3 linked regions of the Caenorhabditis elegans genome follow. The protein of the gene in region 2 interacts with the protein of the main gene of each other region in a pairwise test. Each region holds a gene or a part of one and is shown on either strand. Other genes may lie near its edges.

Region 1 (6,467 bases), on a different chromosome or scaffold from region 2:
ATAAGCGCAAACGTTTAATTCTGATGTTTTCAAATAGTGTATGTACAATAATGCAAAAATGTAGTGCACGGACCCCAAAAGCATTGACTATCTTTTCTCATTGTCTACTAGAATATAATAGTTATTGATATACCGTATTTCTTCTAATTAAAATAGCATTTTCTAAATTTTCAGATAAAGAAGAGGTATACCCGCTCAGCTCTGTCAACGGACCCAATAACTTTCTTAACTCGCTAACAGGTGTATCTAGAAGACAAATGTTCGACTAACAAAGTTATCAGAAATATTTTTTCTTTCTTTTGCAATACTTTTCGTTGCAAAAAACCATTATTTGTTGAGTTACACAAAGTCACAAACATTTTACAAAAATCCACCAAAGTTTTTGAGAATCGTTCTGTTCTACCAGTCATAACCCAGAATCCATTGAACTTCGAAAAAAACGTTTTTTGAATTGAGGGTGAAAAATATTTTGCCACATTTTACCAATTTCAAGTTTTTTGATATTGTAATGTTTAGCCACGTTACATGCCGTTTTTGAACAAAAATCCAATTTTACCCATAAAACTCTTCATATCCAACGCAGAAAATTAAAATTTGGACGAAACATCGCACTTTTTAGTGCTCTATCAGGATCCATCAAAATTGCTTCAAAAATAATGTTCATCTTCAAAATCGTCCTCCGCTCTGAAAAATGAAATCGGACCTTTGCCTTTCGGAAAATGACCAAAAAATGAAATTGGGATATGCGGGTCGAAAAAAAAATTTTTAGAAAGCTGAGAACACGTTATTTACGAATTTCATGTTCATTTTTGATGAATTTCCGTTTCAAATGGCCTGAAATTAAAACATGAACCTAATTATATTCTCACGTGACACTTTTTCGCTAAACAACAACTGGGGATTCGATCAGTTTTGCATCTTTTTAAGCAAATAATAAATTTCACGTGAGAATCGAATCGGCGCCGTTTTAATTTCAGACCATTTGAAACGGAAATTCATCAAAAATGAACATGAAATTCGTAAATAACGTGTTCTCAGCTTTCTAAAAATTTTTTTTTCGACCCGCATATCCCAATTTCATTTTTTGGTCATTTTCCGAAAGGCAAAGGTCCGATTTCATTTTTCGGAGCGGAGGACGATTTTGAAGATGAACATTATTTTTGAAGCAATTTTGATGGATCCTGATAGAGCACTAAAAAGTGCGATGTTTCGTCCAAATTTTAATTTTCTGCGTTGGATATGAAGAGTTTTATGGGTAAAATTGTTTTTTTTTTAACGGTCTGTAACTTGGCTAAACATGACAATATCGAAAAACTTGAAATTGATAAAATGTGGCAAAATATTTTTTAGTTGTTTTTCAACAAATGTTTTTTTTCTGAAACTCAAACAATGTTCGATTATGGCGGATAAAACGGAAAAGTCTTTCCCAGTTATTGCATATGAATATCATCACTTTTGTACATCAAAACACTTCTTCGAACCTTTTAAATTTCAAGATTTCATCAGTTGAAGGTCATACAAGACAAATTGCAAGATATCAGAGACAAAAGTTTTTTATTACAACACCAGACATGTTACATCAGGAAACCGATATTTTCTAATACCTCACATACTTGTAGTTTGTACTTTTATTCAGAATCATAAAAGTTGAATTTTCAATTACGATTACCAGACTCTTCGTCTTTTTATTTTCTGAATTTTCTTATCAAGTGTCTTCAGTCACACATTTTGGCCTGTTCAAAGAGAAGAACCGCGTGTCTATCAAGTTCCTTCTACTGCACTCAGTTCGTCATGTACCTTAGAATTCGGGAAATTGAGAATTTGAAATATCAATGAGGCCAAATGATCAATTGAATTAGATTTGCACGTGTAGAGAAATGATCGAATCTGTCATTTGATACCATCATGAAATTAAGAAATATTTTCACTGATTCTGAAGATACCAAATACTGGAAAACAAACCAAATCTATCTGAAATGTAAATGTTTTAAAAATAAAGTTCCAACTTTTTTTTTCTAATTTAAAGCCTGGAAGGATAGGCGTTCATGAGTCGATGTATATGAAATGTCAGGAGTTTTCGGGTTGCAGTATGAAAAGTTACATTCATCAAAACCATCAAAGAAGAAGTTTTCTTGTAGACTAGTTTACTAATGATATTAAAGATCTTAAAGAAAATAACCAAACTTGGTTAGAACAAGCGACCTGTATAAGTTTTATACAGAACCGGATATTAGTGTTCTCAAAGTTCAGAAAAATGAATGGAATGACCAAAGCGGAGTGGAATTTAAAGAAAATAAATGTCTCATTTTTTGTCTTATAAATCATCCTGAAAAATCTTACTTAAAAGGAACCAGGCAGTTTGATTCAGCTTTCCTTAACACTTTTCTTTTTTCCATTGCTCTTGTGTTAAGAGGGAAGTCTGAAGAAAATTGGACTTTCACATAGAAACCGTACCTAAAATTTTTTCAATTCACATTTCCAAATACCGGCTACCTCTTGAAAGTTTTAGTTTTGGAATTATCTTAGAAAAAGCCAAAACTAATCGTTCGCCAAAATAAAAACGTCACTAGTCTCTCACTTCTGACATTTTTGTAAATACAATTCAGCCAATAAACCATTCAAATGAACTTTGCTTCTCCTTCTATCATCTGTTTCCTTATAAAATCTCGTCATTTCTTTTATTGCTTACTTGATCACATTTCGCTCCTTGATCCCTCTGTGTTTATCCATCTATCGATCGAGTGATCACCACATTTTCCCAATAAAAACACCTTTTCGAATACCTGAAACGTCGTCGAAACCGTTATCGTTGGGAGAATTTGATAAGGAATTTGATGCAATTTAGTGTTTTTTCGAAAGGCGGAGCTTCATTTTCAACCCACGTGTCGACGAAATCTCTTTCGGTTTTTGGCCGATCAAGACTATAAAGTGAGTTTCAGGACAATTGATTGTTCTTTAGTTACTGTAAATTGGTATCACTGTTATCACAAGTTATTTAATAATAAATATCTTATTTCTCTGATTCTTCTATTTTTTATTCTTACATCAGTTTTAGAAAGTGTTATGTTTTCAAAAACAATTTTATCTAGGTTAAAATAACCAGTTTTTCTAGATTTCCTCTATTACTGCCCTTTTATTTTTTTGAATTTCTATTTTATTATTTATATATGCTACAAATTTTCAATTTATGGGAAAACATACTTATAAAATTTCAGCCTCAAAATAATTATGGTTGCTCCATCTCGAAAGAAGTCGATTATTCATCATCATGATCACTCTGTAAGTTAAAATTTCAAGTTACTAAAATATTTAAATTATCCAAAAGGTTACGGAACGGTAGGCAGGCACATCCGATTTACATGCCTGCCTAGCGCCCGTGTTTTGAATTCAAATTGTTTGTTGAAAGTTCGGCTTGAAATTTAAAAGAATTTAAAGCCCCCCCCCCCCCCTTAGACATGAGGCAAGCTTATGTTACCTCCAATGCTCCAACATTAAAAGATGTTTTTAAAAATTAATCCAATTATTTTCAGCATGAATCAACACCTCAAAAAACTCACCATCATCGAGTGAAGCAGGCTGAACGTAAACGGACAGCAAGCATCAGTAAAGAAGATGGAATGGAATATAACAAAAGAGTTCGAAAGCTTCATAAGGCATTCTTAACCCATGGAGCCGAGTCCCCACATGTTGATGATAAACAGACTTCTGGAAGTAACAGTGATAGTGAGTTACTGTTCTAAAGACAATATAAATTTACGAAAATTATAACTTTTCAGCTGAAGCTCCACTTTTCGATCCGGATTGTGATCCAGAGAACCCAAAGAAATTGAAATTTTCTGATATTTCAAGTGCTGCATTTAACATTAAAAATGGAGTTCAAACAACACCATGTGTGGTAAGTTTTCGAAACAATTTTATATTTTACAATTTTTCTTTAATTCTAACTTTTCAGCGATCTCTTCAACTGTCATCCAAGTGTGAAATGGACCTTTATTTCAAAAAAGAATATCTGCAAGTGACAGGATCATTCAAAGAACGAGGAGCAAGATACGCTCTTTCAAAAATGGCTGAGCAATTCAAAAAAGCAGGAGTGATCGCTGCGAGCGCAGGAAATCATGCTCTAGCTCTCAGTTATCATGGACAACAAATGGGGATTCCAGTGACAGTGGTCATGCCTGTTATTGCTCCACTTATGAAAATTCAATTCTGCAGAAGCTTGGGAGCAACAGTTATTCTCAAGGGAGAGAGTATTGCAGTGGTTGGTTTTTTTTTTGCAAGGAAGGCAATAAAACTTGAACTTTCTCTAAATTTCAGGCCAAGGACTTTGCACTTCGTCACGCTAAAGAGAATCACTTAAAGTACATTAATGGTTATGATGCAATTGATATTCTTGCTGGACAAGGAACAATTGGACTTGAAATTCTTGATCAAGTTCCAGATGTTGATACAATTCTTGTACCAGTTGGAGGTGGTGGATTAATTGCTGGAATCGCAACAGCTGTTAAGACATTGAAGCCGGATGTTCATATTTATGTAAGCTCATTTCTCATAATTGCAAATTTTAAAGTAACCGTTCGAACTATTTCCATTTTAAAATGAATATTTTGTTTCTTTTTCAGGGAATTGAATCAGAAACCTGCCCATCGTTCACTGAAGCATATGAAGCTGGCCATATAATAACTTCCCAGGCCAAAGCGTCACTTGCTGATGGTCTCGCCGTTCCCACAGTCGGCGGAAATTCTTTGGAGACAGCAAAAGGCTTGGTTGATAAGGTTTGATAGTTGATAACTGGGTCATTACAACTGATAAGAAATGTTGCAGGTTATCACAGTGAAAGAAGAAAGCATTGCGCTGAGTATTTTAAGACTTTTGGAAGTTGAAAAGGCTGTTGTTGAAGGAGGAGGAGCTGTTGGATTAGCAGCTATTTTGGAAGGAAAAGTACCAGAATTGAAAGGAAAGAAAGTTGTTTCAATTCTTTCCGGTGGAAATATTGATACAACAGTACTTGGAAGATCAATTGAAAGAGGATTAGCTGTAGATGGAAGACTTGTTCGTTTAGAAGTTGTCGTATCAGATAGACCAGGAGGTATTGCTGAACTAACAACTACAATTGCTCATCTTGGAGCATCAATCAAAGATATTTTCCACGAAAGAGCATGGATCTCAACGGATGTATTCCACGTTAAAGTTAAGGTTGTGGCAGAAACTCGTGGAAAAGAGCACGTGGAGGAGATTGAGACTGCATTGAAGAAAATTTATGATAATGTTATACTTCATTGAACTCTCTATTTTCAAATATATTAAAATAAAACGATTTCACTGATGAATTTATGTATTGGAGCAGCATACTGTTACAGTGGGCTGAAAATAAATTATTTTTAACTTTTTTTTTTGGAAAAAACCAACTTACATTTACACTTTGCTGGCACGAATAATTATAGGGACACTGACTATAAGTAGTTGGTGTACATAGTTTCGGAGCACCATTGACAAGTAATGTCTTCCCGTTGATACAAATTAAAGAAGAAGCAAGGCGACAACATAAAAATTGGGATACTTGATTTGACGGTGCACATGAATATCCAATTGGACATGATGTGTCAAGTACAGCTGTGCAAGTACGAACTGCGTTATCCACTTCATTTTTGTAAGAATTCCAACCAGTCGGACATGAAAGGTTTTCCGGAATCGGGGTCGAACCTAAAATTCTAAATAGAAAAATCGCTAAGTTATGTGGATTTCAGTTGACGAGCCTATCTTTAATATATTTACCCGTTAAACAACACACATCTACGAACGGATCATCAGATGGTGCACAATCATAACCGGATGGGCAACTTGTGATAGCACTCGTGATTTCACAAGTATAAGTTTGACCAGCAATCTGTTGATAAACCGGTCGCCCATCAGCGCATCCGATCGTTGATCCAGTTGACCCTTGTCCACAGCAAACATATGTTGCTAGAAGTACTGATAGCTGGCACGTGTACCCGGCCTGAAAGTTGTTTTTTTTTTGTTTCAATCAGAATAAAATAAGATACCGATGAGCATTGTGTTCCGGGTGTTGTGCACATCTCGAGAGCTCCATTTGTAATAAGTGCAATTTGGTTGTTAGAGCAAATTCTCTGCGAGCTTGAGGATCTGCAACATATGAATGCAGAGTTGAGAGTACTTTGCATACACGATGAACCAGATGGACACGTGGATACAGAAGGACTACAGGATACCTAAACATTATTTGGTATTAAGATTGGGAAGTTTTAAGTTCTACAACCAACCGTTCCTCCATTTGAACCAACTGCTGGTGTGAAATCAGATGGGCAAGATGAAGTTGATATTGAAGAGGAACAACATAGAAAAGTGGAAGCAACATTAGAAGATTGTACACATTGATATCCAGTTATACAATTAGTCGGATTATTTTGTGAGCATTCTACATATCCTATCGTGGATGGTTGAGAAACTGC
Region 2 (9,485 bases):
TGTAGTTTGTGACTTTGGACACGAAAAGTTGATTGAATTTTAAAGAATTTAAAGAAGCAGTTGATTCTGAAAGCTTTTGCTCGGTCCGATGACCATTTTAATTTCGTTAAAAAAATTTAACTGTTTTTGAATAAAATCATAGATTGATGTGAGATATGAGTAAAAAACTAGTTGATTTGTCAAAAACTTCATCATCGATGAGGAAGGAAGTGTTTAGAACTCAAAAAAAAATAGTGAAAAACTCTCTACGATTTCGAGATGAAAATTATAATCCAAATAAGAAATACTTATGACAAAAAAATCTAGCAAGAAACATTTATTCTAATTTCAAGTTAATTTTCTTGAATATGTTAGATTCCAAAATAAAATAAACGGAACGGAAACTAAAGAGATGGTTGTTGGTGTCTGCTCACTATCAGTTGATGACTCAACAATTCTTAAGTGATGAGTCAGTTGAAAAGGAGAATCGATTTTAAAAGGGGAATCATACGTATATAATGGATGCTAATATCGAATGAAAATTATATTAAATTATGGAAGAATCTCTTTGAAATTGGAAGGTTTGAAAAGAATTCTCAGCCGTCTAGGCTGAAATACTACAAAATAAAAATGAAAAATATCCCGAAAAAATCGTGTAAGAATCCAACTTAAAAAATCGAGATTTTCCAATTCTACCTAATTTCGATTCTTTCCTAATCTCACTTGATTTTGATTTGATTTTCTACATTCCTATTGCCAACGATGTTTTCAATAATGTTAATGAAATTTTCTTGTTTTTTTCCCATTAAAGTGAATTCAAAATATTTTATTGTCATATGCTTGGTTCTAGTAAATTTTTAATTTTTTGAAAAAAAAAAGAACGAGCCCTATATGATTATATGATATGATCACATGATATGATGAGTATATGATTTTTTGCTTGGTATTTAAATTTTAAAATTATAATTTAAAATTCTACTTTTTGAAGAAAAAGGAAAAGCCCTGGTAGTTGAGCCATAGAGAAAGTGCAAAGAGAACTGTTCCTGATAATTTTGAACATTTCTGAAAAGCTTCAATAAAATATCTAGAGCCTGGCCTAAGCAAAGAGCTCCAATTATCTTTTCCGAATCAAGACCTTCAATTATATCCAGTCACATGATTTGTTTTTATTCATAATTCACTTTTTTAGACTTCGGTCTCCTGTCGCACTTTTCTGCTTCACTGAATTTTCTGCGAATTCTTGCATGCATTTTCAAATAATCTGCAACATTTTACTGATTCTCTATTATAATTTCAAGGAAATTTTATTTCATTGCTTTCATTGCAGCCTGTCTAAAATTGTTCTAAACCGATGTCAGAGTATAGACATTAAAATTTGTAATTTTTGCAAATAATCTTTTTTTTTAAACCAATCATTGAATAAAATCTCAAAAAATCAAGTTTCAAAAGTCTCTTGAATTAATAACTAAGAGCTAGAGCTCCCCTGGTAGGTAGATGCGTTTTCAGGCCCTGGCGCATGCCTTAACCCTTTTTCATGTATGTGATATAAAAATAGTCTATATACATAGAAGCCATGCTACTAATAATGTATTACAAATCAGTGAATATCATCAAACATTATAACTTCTCTGTGAATTTTTTCAAAGAAGACTATCCGGAATTTTACTTTTTCTCATTTTTAAATAAATCAACAATGTTATGGTAAGCTTCTGATTCATCCTATGTCTAGTTGTGTTTTAATTTAAAATCTACACATGTCTATGATTACTTTTTGAAGCACCTCCATCCCTTTATAATTCAAAAACGTCAAGTTTAAAATGTATATGTTTCCAAAGTTTCGGACACATGAACAACTACTTCTGAGTGTTCACTAGAAACATATGCTCCATTCTTCACATTGTCTGCGTCTCTCAACTGCGCAGGATCGATATTATGCACATTTTGTGCTCTTTTAACCCTCTCCCTCTCTGTCCCCCATCTTGAAACCACCTTTTATTCCTCCAGAAGTCTCCTTCTCTCAAACTCTCTATCTGCGTCTCTTCGTATTTTTACTATCACTCATCTTCCGACATCTTCTTCCGATTACTTCTTCCTCGTCTTTTCGGGAGTGACAATATTACTTTAGTCCATCCGTTTTAGTACTTCTTTGTACGAAATGTAACACTTGTGTGAACATTTTATAATGAATAGGATCTGTTTTTTTTGCTTATTTAGACATTTTATTCACATTTTCATATTATTGAAGAACTTTAATATTTTAATATTTTGATGAGAAATTAGAAATTTTCTCCATTTTTCAACGTCAATGATGTTTTCAATCTTTTTAATGCATTTTTTTCCTTTAAAGTTAATTCAAAATATTTCTAAAAATTTCAAATGTATGCATATTTTTCCGATTGTCCAGATGTGACATAAAACCAAAAATATTGAAATTCCACGACTACAATTTCTGGTTTTTAGTCACTTTCTCTAGCGGTTATTGCTTCAAAATTCCGTTTCTCGATACAATATGATTATTTTTCCACATTAAACTAATCTTCTTAAGTTCCAGACCACTCTCACTAAATCAGGAATGCACCAAAATTTTCCTTGACACCTACATTGATAGCCAAATATTTAGTGACAAAAAATGGTGGAAATAATGAAAAAATCTTCAAAACAGGAGACTGTCAAAGTAAGTTTTTTTGGGGTTTTCAAAATCTTTTTTTTTGTTCGAAACATGTTCAAAAATTAGTTCTCAAAATGTAAAATAAATGAAGTATTTTTTAGAAGTACGAAAAAGAAAAAAAACTAAAATTCACCTGTCTTCAAATTTTCCATTTTCCAACATAAGTTATATTCAACGTAATAAAGTACATGCTAGTTTCTAAAATGTCTGATTTTGACCAAAAGGTGAGTTATTTTAATTTTAAATTAATTTGAAACCGTATTTTAATATAAGCACTAATAAACGTAATTTTTCAAGTTTTAACATAATTTTTTTTTAAGTCCAAAACGTATATTAGTTTTTACTAAAAATACAATTTTCCTCTAAAAACTTTTCGAAGCATCACTATTTATGATTCAGTTGAGTTTTGCATTTGAAAGAAAAATCACAAGACTCTAAGTAAATTGTACTTTTTTTCGTTACTTCTCATACAAAAACCACCAGCTTAAAAATTTCATAATCCAGTTTTATACATTTCCAAATTCAAATAAATGTATTTATTTATGTTTACAGGTAATTGTGAGATGTCGACCGTTATCTTCACAAGAAATTGCAAATAATTATTCAAAGTAAGTAAAGTTTGAAATATTTATATTTTGAAATTTCGATCATTTTCAGAATAGTACATATGCGACCACAACGTGGGCAAATTGAGCTGAAAAATCCAAAAGAGCAAGATGAGCCATCGAAGGATTTTACATTCGATGCAATTTATGATGAAAAGTAAGATTATTTATTTCTAGGAGTACATCACTTTTTTTTCACCTGCTATAGAAATATTAGTATTTTTCAAAATTATTTCTCCACAATTTTATGTTTATGATTTTATGAGTTCTCTTTTTTAAAAATATATATTTTATAGTTCCACACAATCGGATCTATATGAAGAAACCTTTCGAGATCTAGTTGATTCGGTTCTAAACGGATATAATGCCACGATTTTTGCATATGGTCAAACTGGAACTGGAAAGACTCACACAATGGAAGGAAAATCATCGGATCCAGAACAACGAGGTGTCATCTATAAGTGTATTGACCATATTTTTGAGCACATGGCAGCATCACATAATCAAGAGTATTTAGTTAGAGCTAGCTATTTGGAAATTTATCAGGTAAGGCGTTAGGATGTGTGATTTACAAAAATGAAATCTTTAGGAGGAACTTCGAGATTTATTAGAAGCCGAATCGAATAAGAAATTAGAAATTAAAGAACGTCCAGATGGAGGAGTTTATGTGAAAGATTTAACGGTAAGTGATAGTTTTCTGAAATAGAAGACGACTATAAATTTCAAAGTTTCAGTCAAAATTAACAAGGACAGTAGGTGAAATACACGAAGTGATGATTCGAGGAAATGGGCATCGGTCTGTAGGGTAAGTTATTTCTGTGGTCGCCGTTGGATTTGATTTTACTAAAATTTTCAGGCGAACCAACATGAATGAGCATTCGTCTCGTTCCCACGCTATCTTTATCATTACTGTTGAATGTTCCCGAATTGGTGAAGACGGAGAAAGTCATATTACAGTTGGTCGACTAAATCTTGTAGATTTAGCTGGTTCAGAACGGCAATCGAAAACAGGAGCAACTGGCGAAAGATTTAAAGAAGCTACGAAAATCAATCTTTCATTATCGGCTCTTGGAAATGTAATCAGTGCATTGGTGGATGCGAAATCTGCCCATATTCCTTATCGAGATTCAAAACTGACTCGACTTCTTCAAGATTCTCTCGGTGGAAATTCAAAGACAGTTATGGTTGCTTGTATTGGACCTGCAAGTTACAATTTTGAGGAGACACTTGGTACATTACGATATGCAAATCGAGCTAAAAACATCAAGAATCAACCGAAAATTAATGAAGATCCTAAGGATGCTTTACTGCGAGAATTCCAAGAAGAAATTGAAATGCTCCGTGAGCAACTGAAGCAGAGAAAGACAAGATCGAGGGATGGAGCAACTCAAAGTTTTTATGATGCTGAACGAGCAAAACTTGAAGATGATATTGAAGCAATTCAAAAAGATGATTCACTGATAAAACATGAAAAGGATCGATTAATAAGAGAAATTCAAGAGAAGCATGATCTGTTAGAAAAGGAACGGATAGAACAAGCACGGGTTGCTGAAAGAATAGCAAACATTCAAAGTCGACTTATCGTAGGATCTGAAGAAGATGGAAGGTTAGAATCAAGGACAAAAGAACAACATGCACAACTGGAAAAGAAGAGAAGAGAACTTGCCGAACAAAAACGAAGGGAAAGAGAAATGGTTGAAGCATTGGAACGGCAGGAAGAGGATACTGTGGATTTGAAACAAACATTTTCGGATTTAAGGACAGAGGTGGAGGCAAAGACAAAAAAGTTAAAGAAGATGTTGATAAAGTTGAGACAGGTTTGACTTCAGATGTACCAGGTGTCAAGATAAGGTTTGTGAATGTTTCAGGCTCGCAATGAGATTCGTGATGTGTCTGGAGCATATTCCGACGAACGACAAGATCTGGATCAGACAATTGCGGAAGTGAGCAAGGAATTGAAGTTGAAGTAAGTTCAGTGATATCTCAATTACAATTTAATAGATTCTCACTCATTTTCATTTCTTTCACTTTCTTTCGTATTCTAATTTGAATTCAAATAGTGTAATTTGATACCGACAGCGCAGGTTCTTTATTCTCACAATTCTCTCCTTTTCCCCCCAGAAGAATTTTCTTTCGTTAGGATTTGATGTTCATTTTTTTTAATAGAATAATATAAGTTTTCAGGCTTCTTATTGTTGAAAACTTCATCCCTCGAGACGTGAGTGAAAGGATAAAAGAACGAGCAGAATGGAATGAAGATAGCTTTGAATGGAATGTTAACGCATTTCAATCAACTTCTTCTAATTCGTCAACACCATTAAACAATAGTAAGTTTTGTGTTTAAAAATTAATTAGATTGAATAGGGGACTTTTATTTAATCAGATTTCCAATTCAAAACTAATTCCTCTTATTTCAGCAATTGAAGTCAACGAAGACGGTGTCTTTACACGATCATCTGGTGCCGATAGTGGTGTCTCCGTGAGCGGCGGAAACGGGACGCCTGCGACATCGCAATTTTTGGACAAAAGACTGGTGAGAAGAGACTTAGAGAAACGAGAGCGAGTGGCTCCATTAGGCATGCATTCGAGATTCTAGCTCATATAGAAAAAGAAAAAGAGGCAAACAACATTTTCGATTTCTTTTTCTTTTTTTTGTGTTCTTGAAAATCACGACATCGTGTGTCCAATTCAGTTGTTCCTTTTCTCATTTTTCAGTCGAATTCTGAATATTTTTATTTGTAGTGGCATTGTATAATACCGACTTTTGTAGTTCACTATGTCAGTGCTTAGAAAGTATTAAGTACATTTTGATACAATTCCCTTATACAAGCTGTGGCAACTTACTAAAAACTGCTCAAATATATTCCCATGTTTCTGGCAGGACGTTGCCTAAAATCTGTTAGTACTGATTACAAAAATCTGAATACAATAATTTGGGTAATATTATTGTAATAGTATAACTCAAAAGTACAGTTCATAAGTTTGACCGAAATTAAAATTTGTATAACTTTAGAACCAATTCAAATTTTATATGAGCTATCCACCATCATTTACAAAGTTACCATTACTAAATTAGGTTTAAATTGAATAATTATTTATTCAGGTGGCAACTCCTGGCTGTCGACGGCCTATGTCAATGTGTGAGCGGATGCTCGTGGAAACAGCTCGAGAACAATTCGGTGCTCAGAGGAGGCCTCCTATATCAGGTATATATTTTTGAAATATCTTTTTTAAACATGATACAGTGAATCTAAAATATCACTTAAAACACTTATCTAATTACTTTAGGTGTCTCTTATAATTCTAGAAGTTTGGATTGAAAAAGTTTCATCACAATTTCCGTTTTCTTATCTAATTCTCGCACTCTCATCTTCACCGGAAAACTGGCCTGTCGTCTCTCCCGGGTGGCCTTATGTTTCATGTTTCTCTTTATCTATTTATCTATGCAGTTCTGATGGACTGACGCTCTCTGTGCTCTTCCGCAACTTTTTTTCTTTGTGTGTACTCTTGCTCCCGGCAGTTGTCGCCTTTCATTTTTCTATTTCACTATTTGTTCCCTACCTAGTTTTATGCATTTGTTTGTTTGACGATCTTTTCAAAACCTAACACCGAATTTAGAACTCCATCAGTTTTTCTTGACTTCTTGACTACATTTTCAGTTTAAAATCCATTGAGCTTACAAAAATCGAAAATTTTCAGGTTCAGGATCGTTTGTCGAGGCGACAATTCCCGAGGAGACAATCCGATTCTGTGGGGAGAACGTTGTCGTTTTCAGTGCTCTGGAACGATTTGTTCCAGAGGTGACTGACTCGGATCCGTCCACTTTTTCAAACTCAATGATGATGGTACGTTTCGAGGTTTTATGGCTTATTGTTAATTTATTAAAATTGTTCAAACAACCTCAACTCTAATAGAAATCAAAGTTCTATTTGAATGAATTGAGCGAAGGATTAGTGAAAAAAGAAGGGATTTTTATGCAGGATATCACATGCATTTTATTAGACTCGTTTTTTTTCTCTATCCTCTTCTCATCAGAAATATTCGTTATTAACAACATTCATTTTTTAGACTTTGAGTTTCTCATTTATTTTTTCATTTGAATATTTTTTCAATCCAGAAATTTTCAGTCAGCACGTCGTCCATCAATCGAGAATCTGACAATCGACGCGTCGAAGGTTCTCGTTCCAATTCTGAACCAATCGACTATGATATTAAAGTACGTTTTTTTGTGGAATTATTGTCATGAATATTCTGTTTTAATAGTGAAAATATATGCTGACGAAAAAAGTACAGTTAAAAAATGCAACAAAAAAAAACAAGAAATGGGTCCATTCGATTCTAAATTCAAATTTTCTGACTTTCGAAAAGAATATCTGAAATAAAATGGCAACAAAACTTGGATATAAGGACCCGCCAAGATCTTGGCTTTGCTGAGATTTTACATCGATTTTTTATTTACTAAACGGAATTAGTTTGTACTAGTTTTTGATTTTCACTGTATATGACACACAAATAAGAACAAAAATTGCATGAAAAACATTTCAGAAATTCAAAAAACGGTCAAGCCCGCAACGACACAATGCCACCGAACGGTTCGATGAGAAGAAGCCAGAATTAGAAAATAATGAAACGATGAATGAGTTAGAATATGTTGATTATCTTATTAATGTAAGTGCCAGATTTTTGTTAGATCTTTAATTAAAATTTAATTTTCCAGAAAACAGAAGAAATGACTAGAAAATTGAATGAATCTACTGATTCTGATGACTACCGTAATCCATTGTCATCTGGGCGTGGTTCTATGACGTCATCATCAATCAATGAACCACGAATGTTTATTTCAACAATGTCGACACCAAGAAGAACTCCATCTAGAATTCCAGCTTTAATGACTAAAAGCTTGCATGCTCCAAGGTAAGTGCAAACGTTGGATTACTAAAAGTAAAATAATTCTTCTCCACATGTGTGTCTTTAATGGTGAAGTATCGTCTGCCAGGTTAAAAAATATATAAATACTTTCATATCAATCATATCAATCTTCCAAATTTTTAGAAAGTTTGGAATTTTTATGAAATTTCAAAAATTTTTGGTTGACTTCCAAAACTATGATAGGTGAAACTGAGTTATTGTCAATTTTTGACTATATTCGAAAAAGTTTCAGAAATTTTGGTTAACATTGTTGCTCTACTTGCCATGCTTTAAACATCTGATTTCAGATCCTTGTCAACCCCTCAACGTGGTGCAACAGTCTACGGTTCGGGAGAGCAGCTTTGTGCTGAAAATTCTGGAGTTGGATTTTCAAGTAACCGGAGAATCGAGACGGAAATGCTTTTAAGTAGAAGTCAAGAGAAGAGAAAACAGAGGGCAAGTAGTTATGATCCAAGGTAAGATCTTTACAGTACTGTCCACATAAACAACGTTTCAAATTTTCAGATGTCTTCTTGCTCTTCACTCATCTCCATTCCGTCTGTCAACATCTGCATCAGCCACTTCTTCATCTCAACACCAAAGATTGTTGACGTCATCATCAATCCACGTTGCATCCTCATACTCTCGACTTCTGCCTCGACGCCCTCAATGGGTTCGTAGTCAACCATCAAGTTCAGTCCAACTTGCTGAATCGACAGTATCATTGGATTCTTTTGAATTGATGAATACTAAATCCAATTTCTATTTGGATTCCGATGAGTCTTCTTCTGATGATTCCGATGCTGAATTTGGTGCTGAGTGTTCTGTTGATGGTGTTGTTGAAACACCGAGAACACGTCGAAAGTTGATTTCAGTTAGAAGGTTGAAAGACAGAAATCGAAAGAAATTCAAGTAAGTCTAGTTTCTCTATTTGGCATTCTATTATATTCTATAGAAAATGTGTTTTAGAAAAATCTTAATTTTCAGATGTTCCATGAAACGTCTACATCCACCAACTTCACCATCAAAAATCTCAAAAAGTGCTTCAAGTTCATCCGATCTTACCTCATTCTTCTGTATCTCTTCACCATATTTCTACCTCCTCATCGCATTCCTATTCCGATTTCTTATATTTTTATCAGATACTTTTCTGCCGATCTTCTGATCTTTAAAACCTAATTCGAAATTTCGAATTTAGTCGTCGTTGCGGGCTTTTTCAGGCCTTCTTGTAGTCTCGAACAGTTTTTTAATAAGAAAATATCACTATTGATACGGTTACCTTTCACATTATTAGTGCTGATTGAAACCAAACTTTTGAACATTGT
Region 3 (9,559 bases), on a different chromosome or scaffold from region 2:
ATTTTGAGAAATTGAATATTTTTTCTTATCGTCAGAATCAGAGTTCCAATACTTTGTATATTTTTATATGGTCACATTTAAAATTGTATTTATGATTTGTCTTCAATTAAAAAAAACTAAACTGAATAAAAAATCTTATTAAAATTGAAAAAGAAGTAGAAAACATTGAATAGAAAGATTTTTCGGTGGAAAATGAGCGGGGGGAAACACTTGAAGTTTGAACGGGAAAAGCAGTGTATTATGAAAAGAATTGCAAACGTTTTTGTTCTTTTTTTGATGTTTTTTAAAATGAATTTCAGATTAGCGATTTTAAGTGAAGAGTCTTAAGCAAATCAATTCAATATTTTGGTCAGTTTTAGGCAGTTTCAATGAATCAATTTAAAGAAAAAATGTCGAGAAGGTCTATCATCAAGAATAATAAGAAAATTATGGACAGAAACTAGAGAACTTGAGTGATTTTGGGGAGTTGTTTAAAAGAGAAAAAGTTGTTTAAAAATAATGAGAGCTTATTGTCCGGATTGGATGGTCTTCTGGGTGTGTGTTGCACGCTCCTCTCCATCCTTGTTCACCAATGACGTCACAACATTGGCTCCGATTCCCCAGGTGTTCTCTCCATCGAAGACAAGAGACTCTGGTGGGTTGTTGATGCCTCCTTGGTCACGGGCGTAGATCTGGAAATTTATTGGAATTGGAATATTCTCTTTTCGAAATTATGTAGATTAGTTTCTCAGCAAATGCGAGAAACCCTTAGACTAACCCGAAACGATTAAATTTCATAATGAGACCTCTCAGAAAATGTTTCCAAATTTCTTATGGTGGCTCAAAACTTGGGGAAAACATTTTCAAATTTCTAAAACCTGTAACTCTGATAAAGAGCATTAGAGAAATAACAACTGATTTTCCGATATTGCTACATGGACAATCTCACAAAATTTCAGATTTTAGCAAAATTTGGCCATTCCCTTTCAAAATTTTTTTTTTGGAAATTTTCAGGTGAAAGTACGTTTTTAACGGGCTTCAGACTATGTTGGCTGGGTTTCTCAAAAATATAGTGGCAGACTAAAAAAATACTAAGAATATTTACATAGCTACACACTTTTTTCTAAAACAATGATAAAAATAACTTACGGTCAAGTTCTTTCCTGGCTTGATAACAACATTGGCTGGAATGGAATAGACAATTTCGCGTCTTCCATCCAACTTTCTTCTGATTTTGTGCTCACCAACATTCTCATCCTGAAATAAAATTTTCAACATTTCAAAACCAAAAAGCTTCAACATACCTTGTTTCTGTGCGAGTTCTCAAGCTTGATGAACTTTCCATTTGGATCACACTCGGAAATTGTCACATTTCCCTTGGCGGATCTTTGGAAGGTGGTCTTGGTGGATACCTCACCGCGAACTGATCTTGTCGAATCAGTGTTTTCTTGTTGTTGGAGAGAATGCGTCTTGACGGCTTGCTCAACCATTTGGGTGAGTCCGACTCTGCAAATATATTTTTGAAACTTTTGAGAAAGGTTTTAGAACAAAATGATAACAAAACTGCCCAAAATTTGGCTTGCTGGGAATATTGATTAAATAACGATAATAATTACCTGGTCTCTTCTCCCTCGAGCATTTTTCTGTAGATGGCAATTTCGGCGTCAAGCATTTGCTTGGTATCCAAAAGAGCTTGAAGCTCAGCAACCAATGTTTGGCATTCCTCACGCATTCTTCTCAATGTAGCATCTCTGTCGTTGAGGGCAGCTTCGTATTGTCTTTGATCGTCGGTCAATTGGTAGTTCAAGTTCTGAACTTCCTTCTCCAAAAGTGAGTTCTTGTTCTCCAAATCTCCCAATTTTCCGCGGAGATCTCCAATGTTGTCTCTCATTCTCTTGACCTCATCCCTCTGGTAGGTGGACTCCATATTGGCACGGTTGGCAGATCCTTGAACCTCGGAAACCTTGAGCTTGTACCAGGACTCCATGTCTTGCTTTCCTTGCTTGGCAATGATATCATACTCATCTTTGATATCACGGATGGCAAGAGCCAATTCGTTTTTGAAGAACTCTCTGGTGTCAGCTGGAGCCTGAGCAAGGAGAGCTTGAAGTTCCTTAACCTCTTGTTCGTGAACTCTTCTCAAGAATTCGAGCTCCTCCATCAAAGTCTGCACTTGATTTTGGAAGTCAATTCTGCCAATGGTCTCATCATCAAGATCGCTTCTGGCCTTCTGAAGTTCTTCCCAGATTCTCGAGTTGTCAGCTGTAACACGCTTCTCCTCATCTGTCAATTGCTTGAAACGAGCACGGAGCATCTCAACTTCGGATTGAGCATCAGCGATAGCATTGGTCCATTGGGAGATCTTCTCGCGATCGGACTCACGGCGTTGCTGGATATCTTCGTATCTGAATAAATATTGATAAGCAACAGAAAATTAAGAATAAATAAACCTGGATCTGTACTCAGCCAAGTCGTCACGGTGTCTGGCAACTTTCACATCAACCTCTGCCTTTCTACGAGCAGCATCGTCAATGTCCTTACGAGCTGTTGAGAGGGATTCGGAGTATTTGATCTGAAATTAACAATTTGAATAGGAAAGAAGCTTTAAGAAGTTTGTTCCAAAATATAGGTTGAAATTTTAAAAAAACACTGGACAGGAAGCGCACAGATTTTCTTCTGGTAAGTTGAAGATTTTAAGGATGTTTGAGAGAATTCTCTAATATAGTAAATAAAATCTTGAAAGTTTCGAATATATATCTAAATAGAAATTACTGATTCACAATCAAATAATAAATGTTTTTTCTACAACTACTTCAGTTTTTTGCTTGCAGAAGCTTGCTTAAAATTTATTTGAAATTCACTAAAATACCTTAATCTCGGATGTGTCTTTTCCCCATTTTCCGCGAAGCTCATCCAAATCAGCAACCAATTTACGGTTCTGCTCTTCGAGTTTCTTGACACGATCAATGTAATTTCCGAGACGATCATTGAGTCCCTGCAGTGTCTTCTTTTCCTTATCAGTCGCCTCAAGGAACGATTTTGCTGCGTTTGCGGACAAGGCCGGTGAAATTCCTCCGACTGTAGCTGATCCCATCTCTGTCACCATCTTTAGCACGCGTCCTGAACGTTTTTATAATGATAATTAGGAGATTAGATTTGATTTGAGTGTTTTTATATTTCTATTGGGAATTTATATTTCGATATTCTTCTATTCTTACCTCCTGACATTGGTGCCTGTGGCGCTGATTCAGCCTCCATTTCTGATGTGTTTTAGCTTGAAATTTTAAAGTTTTTCTAGAAGATTAAGGGAAAAAAAATAATGAGGAACAAGTTCGAAAATTTCTGAATGAAAAATGAAAAACAAATGGTATAGAAACTAAATGTAAGTGTCACAAACACTATGCAAAATAACGGAAACCGTCGACCAATTCTGACCCTCTTCTGAATACTCCACCCAACGAAGAAATAGCATTAAATTTGTGGAGAACTTAGAGAAAAAGAATGAAGGTGTGTCAATGGTTTTGCCTTCCCGATCATCACCGATGATAGAAAATGGAGAAAGAGAAGAAGATATAATGGTGATAAGTTGAAGACAACGGACATGTACACATACGTACAGATTGCGAGTTGACTGTGCCTATGAATGAATGGATAAATTGGAAGAAAAGTGGAAAGAGATCAAGACACTACTTACTTAGAAATTGAAGATGAAGAATACGTCAAGGTTGTTGTGGGCGGAGTCAACTAAAGATAATCATCTTGATCAGATCTCAATCATTCATTTTTGTTATCTTTTTTAAATTGCGGGGAAGCTAATTAATTTAACTAGGATTCCATTTTTGACATTTTTTGGTAAGGGAGATATTTTTGTTTCAGAAACTAAATCTAATGGTAGGAAGGCTTATTTTTAGGCCAACGTACCTGTTTTATTTTTGTCAATTTGATAGAAATTCAATTAAGAAAAACATCATTTCCAGTCCTCAAAAATGTTTTTAAGTTTAAGAATCTTGAAACACGGGCCGCAAAAATTGACTTATCTCAAGTTAGAACAAAATTGGTTAAAAAATTAGTTTTGACAACTTAAATGTAAGATGGGACATTTCTAATTGAAAAAAAAAACTCTACACCATCTTGCAATAAATCGGAGAAATCCGAGATTCTATCCGAGAAGATCTCATAAATCAAGTGATAATCAGTATAATAAGTTCTTGTCACTGTTCCACCCAATTCTCACTCATTAAAACTAAATGACTAATCACACATAAAAAATGGGTGTTTTCCATGTCTCAGTTTCTCATCATTCAAAATAGTCACATCTTGGGTGTGGTCATTCCTTCCTTTCTCACCTATTTCTCATCTATTTCGTAACTGTATTCTAAATTAAAAGTTATTCAGGGGATTCTTTTAATTTTAATTCGTTACCCAAAAAAAAACAAAATTAAAATAAATGATGAATAAAATCAATAAAAGCTCGGATTTCTTCAAAGTCCGTCAAGTTTTCAAGTGTGTTGAGCAGTCAGCCGGCTGGCGGAAAGTGTGCCCAAGAAACAACAAACTAAACATTTTGTTGACTTAATCGGCTCAATGTATCTTTTTATACATGTTATCTCAACTGGTTACGAAAATTGAAATATTGTATTTAAAACTGTCTGAAATTTTGGTGCCTCTTTCAATCTGTTATTTGCTTTTTGCATTTTATTTCCAAAAATGTTGCCATTTTTATGTATATGCATAGTTGAAGACTATTTGCCTAACAACTCTTTCTGTCATGCACTATAAACTTGATGGAACTTGAACTTTTAAATTCAATAGATTTTTGGTTTGAAAATGAAGGGCGTTCCTCAGTGATTATGCTAATTGTGAGACTGTATCGAGAGACGAGAAAACCCAGAGATTTATGGGATTTTTTGGATGAGAAAAAGTGGATTTAATGACGGTTGAATAGGAAACGATATGGGCTGCCGGAAAAAAATCTTGTGGTCTTATATTTTGATCTTGATCTCCAGATTTGCTTAAAACAATAAAAAAGAACAATTTTTCTTTTGTTATGGTAATGCCTGCCTATTTTCTATTTTCACAGTGAGTTAACTTGCTCAAAGAACAACTAAAAATTACAAACATAAAAGATAACTTGTGTTTAGGCAGCAGATACGTGCGTAGGCTTACGGCAAGTTATAAGAAGCTAATACTATGTAGTAAGTTTACGTACCTAAATCTCTGACTTAACAAACAATTTTCAATTTCAAATTTTTACTGTTAAAAACTGTTTTTAGCTTTTAATTAAATATATTTCGACTGCAGTTTTTGAAGTTTTAATTATCCTGACATTTTATGCTAAAATTGCCAATTTCAAATTTTCCCCATTTTTGCCTCAAAACTCCAAAAATATTAATATTTGTTTAATTTTTGAGGAATTCCCCCATTTATTCACAGAAATTTCACTTCATAAAAACCTGTTTCTAGATTTTTGTTAAACTATGAAAAAGTGTGGTTTCTTGCCAAGTGAGCAAATATTAAGAAAACTCATTAAATTAAAAATTGCATTTAAAGGCATAAAGTATTACTTTTTATCTTTTAACTTTTATAATTTCGAAAATAATTGATTTTAAGTGATATTTTTAAGCAGAAGATTTTGGATCAACTCCGAGTAGAAAAAATGTAAAATCCCTGCTCAAAATATTATCCTCTACCAAACTGTTCACCTTTCTCAAAAACGTTTCGTTTAGCCAAGAACAAATCAACGCGTTCGCACTGATAACGACTCTTGCTCTCTTTTTCTCGTTTTTATATTTTCTTTTCATCCTCCAGGTCTATATTTCCATCCTCATTTCTATTGTATAGCACAGCAAAAACCAATATTTACTTCATCTTCCAATTGATTAATAAAACCACCCAAACTATTTTTTTGCAATCGGATGAACGAGAGAGAGAGAGAGAGAATAAAGTGTTCGGTTCGATTGATGCGACTGTTCACTAATTCGCTTTGAATTCAAATACATAATTATGGATGGGTAGTAGACGGATAAACATGTAAACAGAGAAATAGAGAAAGAAAGGAAAAAAGAATATTGGAATATTGGTTCAGTTAATAGTTGATCGGATGTATAGTGTCAACTTGAATTAAGGTCATCTATAAGACCGGTCCAGGAGAAAAATAGCTTGAAGGTTTACTACTTTTGAAAAAATAAAAGTATATTCTGAAACTCTCAATCTAACAGGAAAGTATAGAAAATACGTTGGAAATTGAGTGATCTCTGAAGCTTAGACTTCAGTAGGAAATTTTTTTAAAAGATATATAACTATCCGGATTTCAAATCAAGAATTTGAAACAAGAAATGCTCCTGGTATTGATGATTATTTTCAGAGGAAAGGATATAGTAATAGCTGAAATTTTTTTTAATCTTTACCGTTTTCAACTTTAAATTTTTTTAAAATCTAACTAACCTCCGGATCCTGCTCCATTTCCACCAGACACGTAGTTTCCAGACTGACGTGATTGAGAGCGAACCGCTGTTCTTGGCTGGATGGTGGATCTGTATTGCATCTCGTACTCGGAAGATTCCTTGTGAGACGACATCTTCTTTCAGAAGTTTGACGCTACCTGAAATTTTTTTTTTGAAAATATAGAAGCTGAATTGGGAAAATACAGAAAACTGAGCAAAAAGTAACAATTACAAATTTTAATAAAAAGTGTTAAACCTTAAAACAACAATATGATAAAAAAAAATGTTTCTGCATCCTTCGGCATCCAATTTGTTCCTTATCAAAACCCAAATAAGCGTGGCCGGTTTTCAACAAACATACACACTCATATATATGTTCAACATTTTTTTGAGTACACTCCACAAAAAAACAGAAAACAAATAAGGTGGAGGAGGAGTGACTGAACACGCCCATTTTTGTTCATGGAAATCAGAATTGAATATGGGTGGAAGGACATGATGGTGAGTCAACGTTAACCTGTCAAACAAATTGAAACACCCAAGCACATTCCGGAGAATTGTTAGATGGAAGAACAATAGAGATTGAATTTCTCGCGCATTGTGCAGGGAAATTTGCAAGAATTGGGTGGAAAATGACGAGAAAATGATGGAAGTTAAATGATTTTATTCATGATTTTTTTAAAAGATTATCTTGATTTTTTTTTATTTCTGCAGACTACAGTAAATGCTTCTTATAATTGTTTTTTTCGAGCAACGTGAAATGATCGCAAAATAATAAAAACCTTCTAGGTAGGCACGAAACCTACTAGAATTCACAGGAAAAATAGGATGCAACCAAGTACGAAAGCCGGCAAAAAGGAATGATTTCATGCCTATCTCCTTTAAAGACTTAATTGTTCAGATCTGAAAAACTTTCTAAAAAAAGTGGGACAGCGAAATTTATGTTGCATTTTGTTTCGTAAAGTTTTCAACTTTTATGAATGATTTTGAAAATGAATTGCTGTTTTTTTTTTAATTTTAGTATTCATATTTTCATACCTAAAGCTTGTTGACTCAAACTTAAAATCATAATAAAACTAGCAAAAGATGTGAAGAAACATGTGGGTGTTCAGTGAGTCATAAAGTTGGAAATTTATTGAGTAATTGTATGACCAAGTTCTAATTGACACTACTTGAAATCCTAAACCATTCGGTTACTCATTCACGATAGTTTAGAAAGCTTAAAGTAACTTTGGGGTGGAGTGAATAAAAGTAGAAAAAGACACAGTGCTCCTGCTCTGCTCGGAGTAAAAAAGTGAAGCGAAAAAAATGAAATCGGAAAGACACACACACACAAGCATTCCTACAGAATACCGAAAGGGTATTGTGAGGACGGTCTGTTGCGCCGGGGGTCGATGAGGCAGAGGCCCTGAGAAGCGCCCCCACCAATTGCTCCGCCCCCATTTTGTTGCCGAACCGTCGAAAAACGAGCTGCTATTTGCGTTCCTCCTTCTTTTTTCTCTCTGCGCGCTTCACTTTTTGAAATGATGCGCTTGGCGTATAGGCGTATTCCGAGAGAATTTAGAAGAGATGACGACTACTTTTACCTCATAGGAAGTGGCCGATTATCACAGTCAAGGACAAGAGAGAAATGATTTGAAATGGAAAAATGAGGAGATGTTAGTGAGGGAATTGGAAGAGGGGGAGAATAAGACATTGTTAACATTTTGTTTTCATTTATGGGTGAGAATGATGACAAGATTGGAGGTACAAGTGATCAAATAGTTCTACGAAAATGTTCCGTGCTGGCTAAGGTTTTGCATTTTTAATGTTGGGCTGTGGTAAAAAAATTAAGAACTCATTGTCAGTAAACAAGTTTTGTAAACATTGAAACCTGTAAAAAAATAGTTTAAAATTATCGCCGTCCAGTACTAAAGCTGAGGCATACCGTATTTTCCCTACAAAGTCTGCACCACAATTACTCTACTTTGACGGCCTATTTTCCAATTGTCTCAAGTGTTATCAAAAAATTCTCTACAACCAAAATATAGAGACATATTTGGTACATATTTGGTAGTTGACAATTTATTGATAAAATTTAAAGCAACCGAGATATATTCTGCCAAAGTAGAACCAGAAGATACAAGTCTAATAGGAAGAATACGGTAAGTTGAGGCCAATTTCTAATCTCGAGGCAAATGTGAAAACTAGCATGCACAAATATGCCTACCCGCCTATCTACAGGTACGACTCTGCTTGCAAGAGAGATAGGCAAGGAGGTAGGTAGGAAGGTAAGTAAGTCTACTGGTAGGCGGGTAGGCATCATGCGCTCATTTAGCATTGAAAAATTATAGCCGATATGATAGCTTTCTTCCCGGCTAAGTGGGTAGGTCTCAATGCGCCTGTATGCAGGCGGGTGAGCTTTTTGAATGAATAGAAGGCTACATAACGTTGACCCATCTAATAATACAATAACGAACAAATTTTGAAATTCAGAAAGGAATAAATCCAATTTCAATTAATCATCTACAGACTCTACAGACTAGGAACTATCGCTCTTGTTGTTCTGCCTTTTTTTTACTGATTTTTTTTGGTGCAGTTTGAACCTCTACCAATTAATACTATGAGTCTACTGGTTTTCAATAGATGGTTTCGATGAAAAAAAGAAAGAGAAAAATGAAACTGATGGATTAGGCATAGTTCTCAGTTTTATGTCGTCTTACGGGTGGGGTTTTGTATTTTTGTTTTTATGAACTATTTGAATTTTGCAAATGAGGAAATAGTTTAGATGTTTAAAAAACAAATAAATTAAAATAACGATTTCTCGAAGGATGTGTTATGGAAGACACGAGGGGCTAAACCTTGAAAAAAGCAAATTGAAGTCAAAAGTGATGGGGGCGTTTTACGGTTGGTCGACGTCCTCCTCCTCATTCTTCTTCTCCGCTTTTCTCCTTTTTTCTTGCGTTTCAACTGGATTCGATTCTTCGTTTTTTTTCTTCTTTTCTACCGTCCTCACCCGAAGTCTAACCATTTTCCTATTCAGAAACGGGACGACGCCCAATTTTCGTCGATACTCCGCAGATTCGGAGCGAAGAGGAATCGGAACGAGGAAAACGGGCAAAAACAGATGGAGAAGAGGAATAAGGAGGAAAAAACCA

Evidence for each region. Proteins that work in one complex are often made in the same cells at the same time.
Region 1: the proteins of klp-11 (region 2) and srdh-1 interact in a two-hybrid assay, tested with the Caenorhabditis elegans proteins (one large-scale study listed by BioGRID).
Region 3: the proteins of klp-11 (region 2) and ifb-1 interact in a two-hybrid assay, tested with the Caenorhabditis elegans proteins (one large-scale study listed by BioGRID).

What each region holds. Positions count from the first base shown.
Region 1 is NC_003280.10:8,261,974-8,268,440, forward strand, and holds srdh-1 (L-serine deaminase), read left to right. Parts: upstream 1-3,215; 5' UTR 3,216-3,228; coding exon 3,229-3,279; intron 3,280-3,530; coding exon 3,531-3,723; intron 3,724-3,776; coding exon 3,777-3,895; intron 3,896-3,952; coding exon 3,953-4,258; intron 4,259-4,314; coding exon 4,315-4,533; intron 4,534-4,619; coding exon 4,620-4,772; intron 4,773-4,821; coding exon 4,822-5,280; 3' UTR 5,281-5,328; coding exon of another isoform or gene 5,329-5,361; 3' UTR 5,362-5,387; downstream 5,388-6,467. Other genes in the region: K01C8.2 (CC domain-containing protein), read right to left, coding at 5,329-5,361, 5,411-5,700, 5,773-5,995, 6,042-6,227, 6,279-6,467.
Region 2 is NC_003282.8:8,755,120-8,764,604, reverse strand, and holds klp-11 (Kinesin-like protein), read left to right. Parts: upstream 1-2,538; 5' UTR 2,539-2,608; coding exon 2,609-2,653; intron 2,654-3,199; coding exon 3,200-3,255; intron 3,256-3,304; coding exon 3,305-3,409; intron 3,410-3,548; coding exon 3,549-3,798; intron 3,799-3,841; coding exon 3,842-3,934; intron 3,935-3,986; coding exon 3,987-4,057; intron 4,058-4,108; coding exon 4,109-5,069; intron 5,070-5,120; coding exon 5,121-5,218; intron 5,219-5,436; coding exon 5,437-5,579; intron 5,580-5,669; coding exon 5,670-5,785; intron 5,786-6,355; coding exon 6,356-6,458; intron 6,459-6,951; coding exon 6,952-7,097; intron 7,098-7,379; coding exon 7,380-7,468; intron 7,469-7,797; coding exon 7,798-7,870; downstream 7,871-9,485. Other genes in the region: F20C5.11 (uncharacterized protein), read left to right, coding at 7,885-7,920, 7,970-8,166, 8,469-8,636, 8,686-9,072, 9,148-9,325.
Region 3 is NC_003280.10:5,762,639-5,772,197, reverse strand, and holds ifb-1 (Intermediate filament protein ifb-1), read right to left. Parts: upstream 6,581-9,559; 5' UTR 6,557-6,580; coding exon 6,424-6,556; intron 3,977-6,423; exon of another isoform or gene 3,853-3,976; intron 3,254-3,852; exon of another isoform or gene 3,238-3,253; coding exon of another isoform or gene 3,198-3,237; intron 3,100-3,197; coding exon 2,849-3,099; intron 2,552-2,848; coding exon 2,430-2,551; intron 2,385-2,429; coding exon 1,596-2,384; intron 1,486-1,595; coding exon 1,284-1,485; intron 1,237-1,283; coding exon 1,129-1,236; intron 672-1,128; coding exon 507-671; 3' UTR 114-506; downstream 1-113. Other genes in the region: Doublesex- and mab-3-related transcription factor dmd-5, read left to right, coding at 1-7. UniProt on the Caenorhabditis elegans protein: Cytoplasmic intermediate filaments provide mechanical strength to cells. Essential protein, involved in attachment structures in epidermal cells that connect muscles to the external cuticle. Required in morphogenesis and epidermal integrity.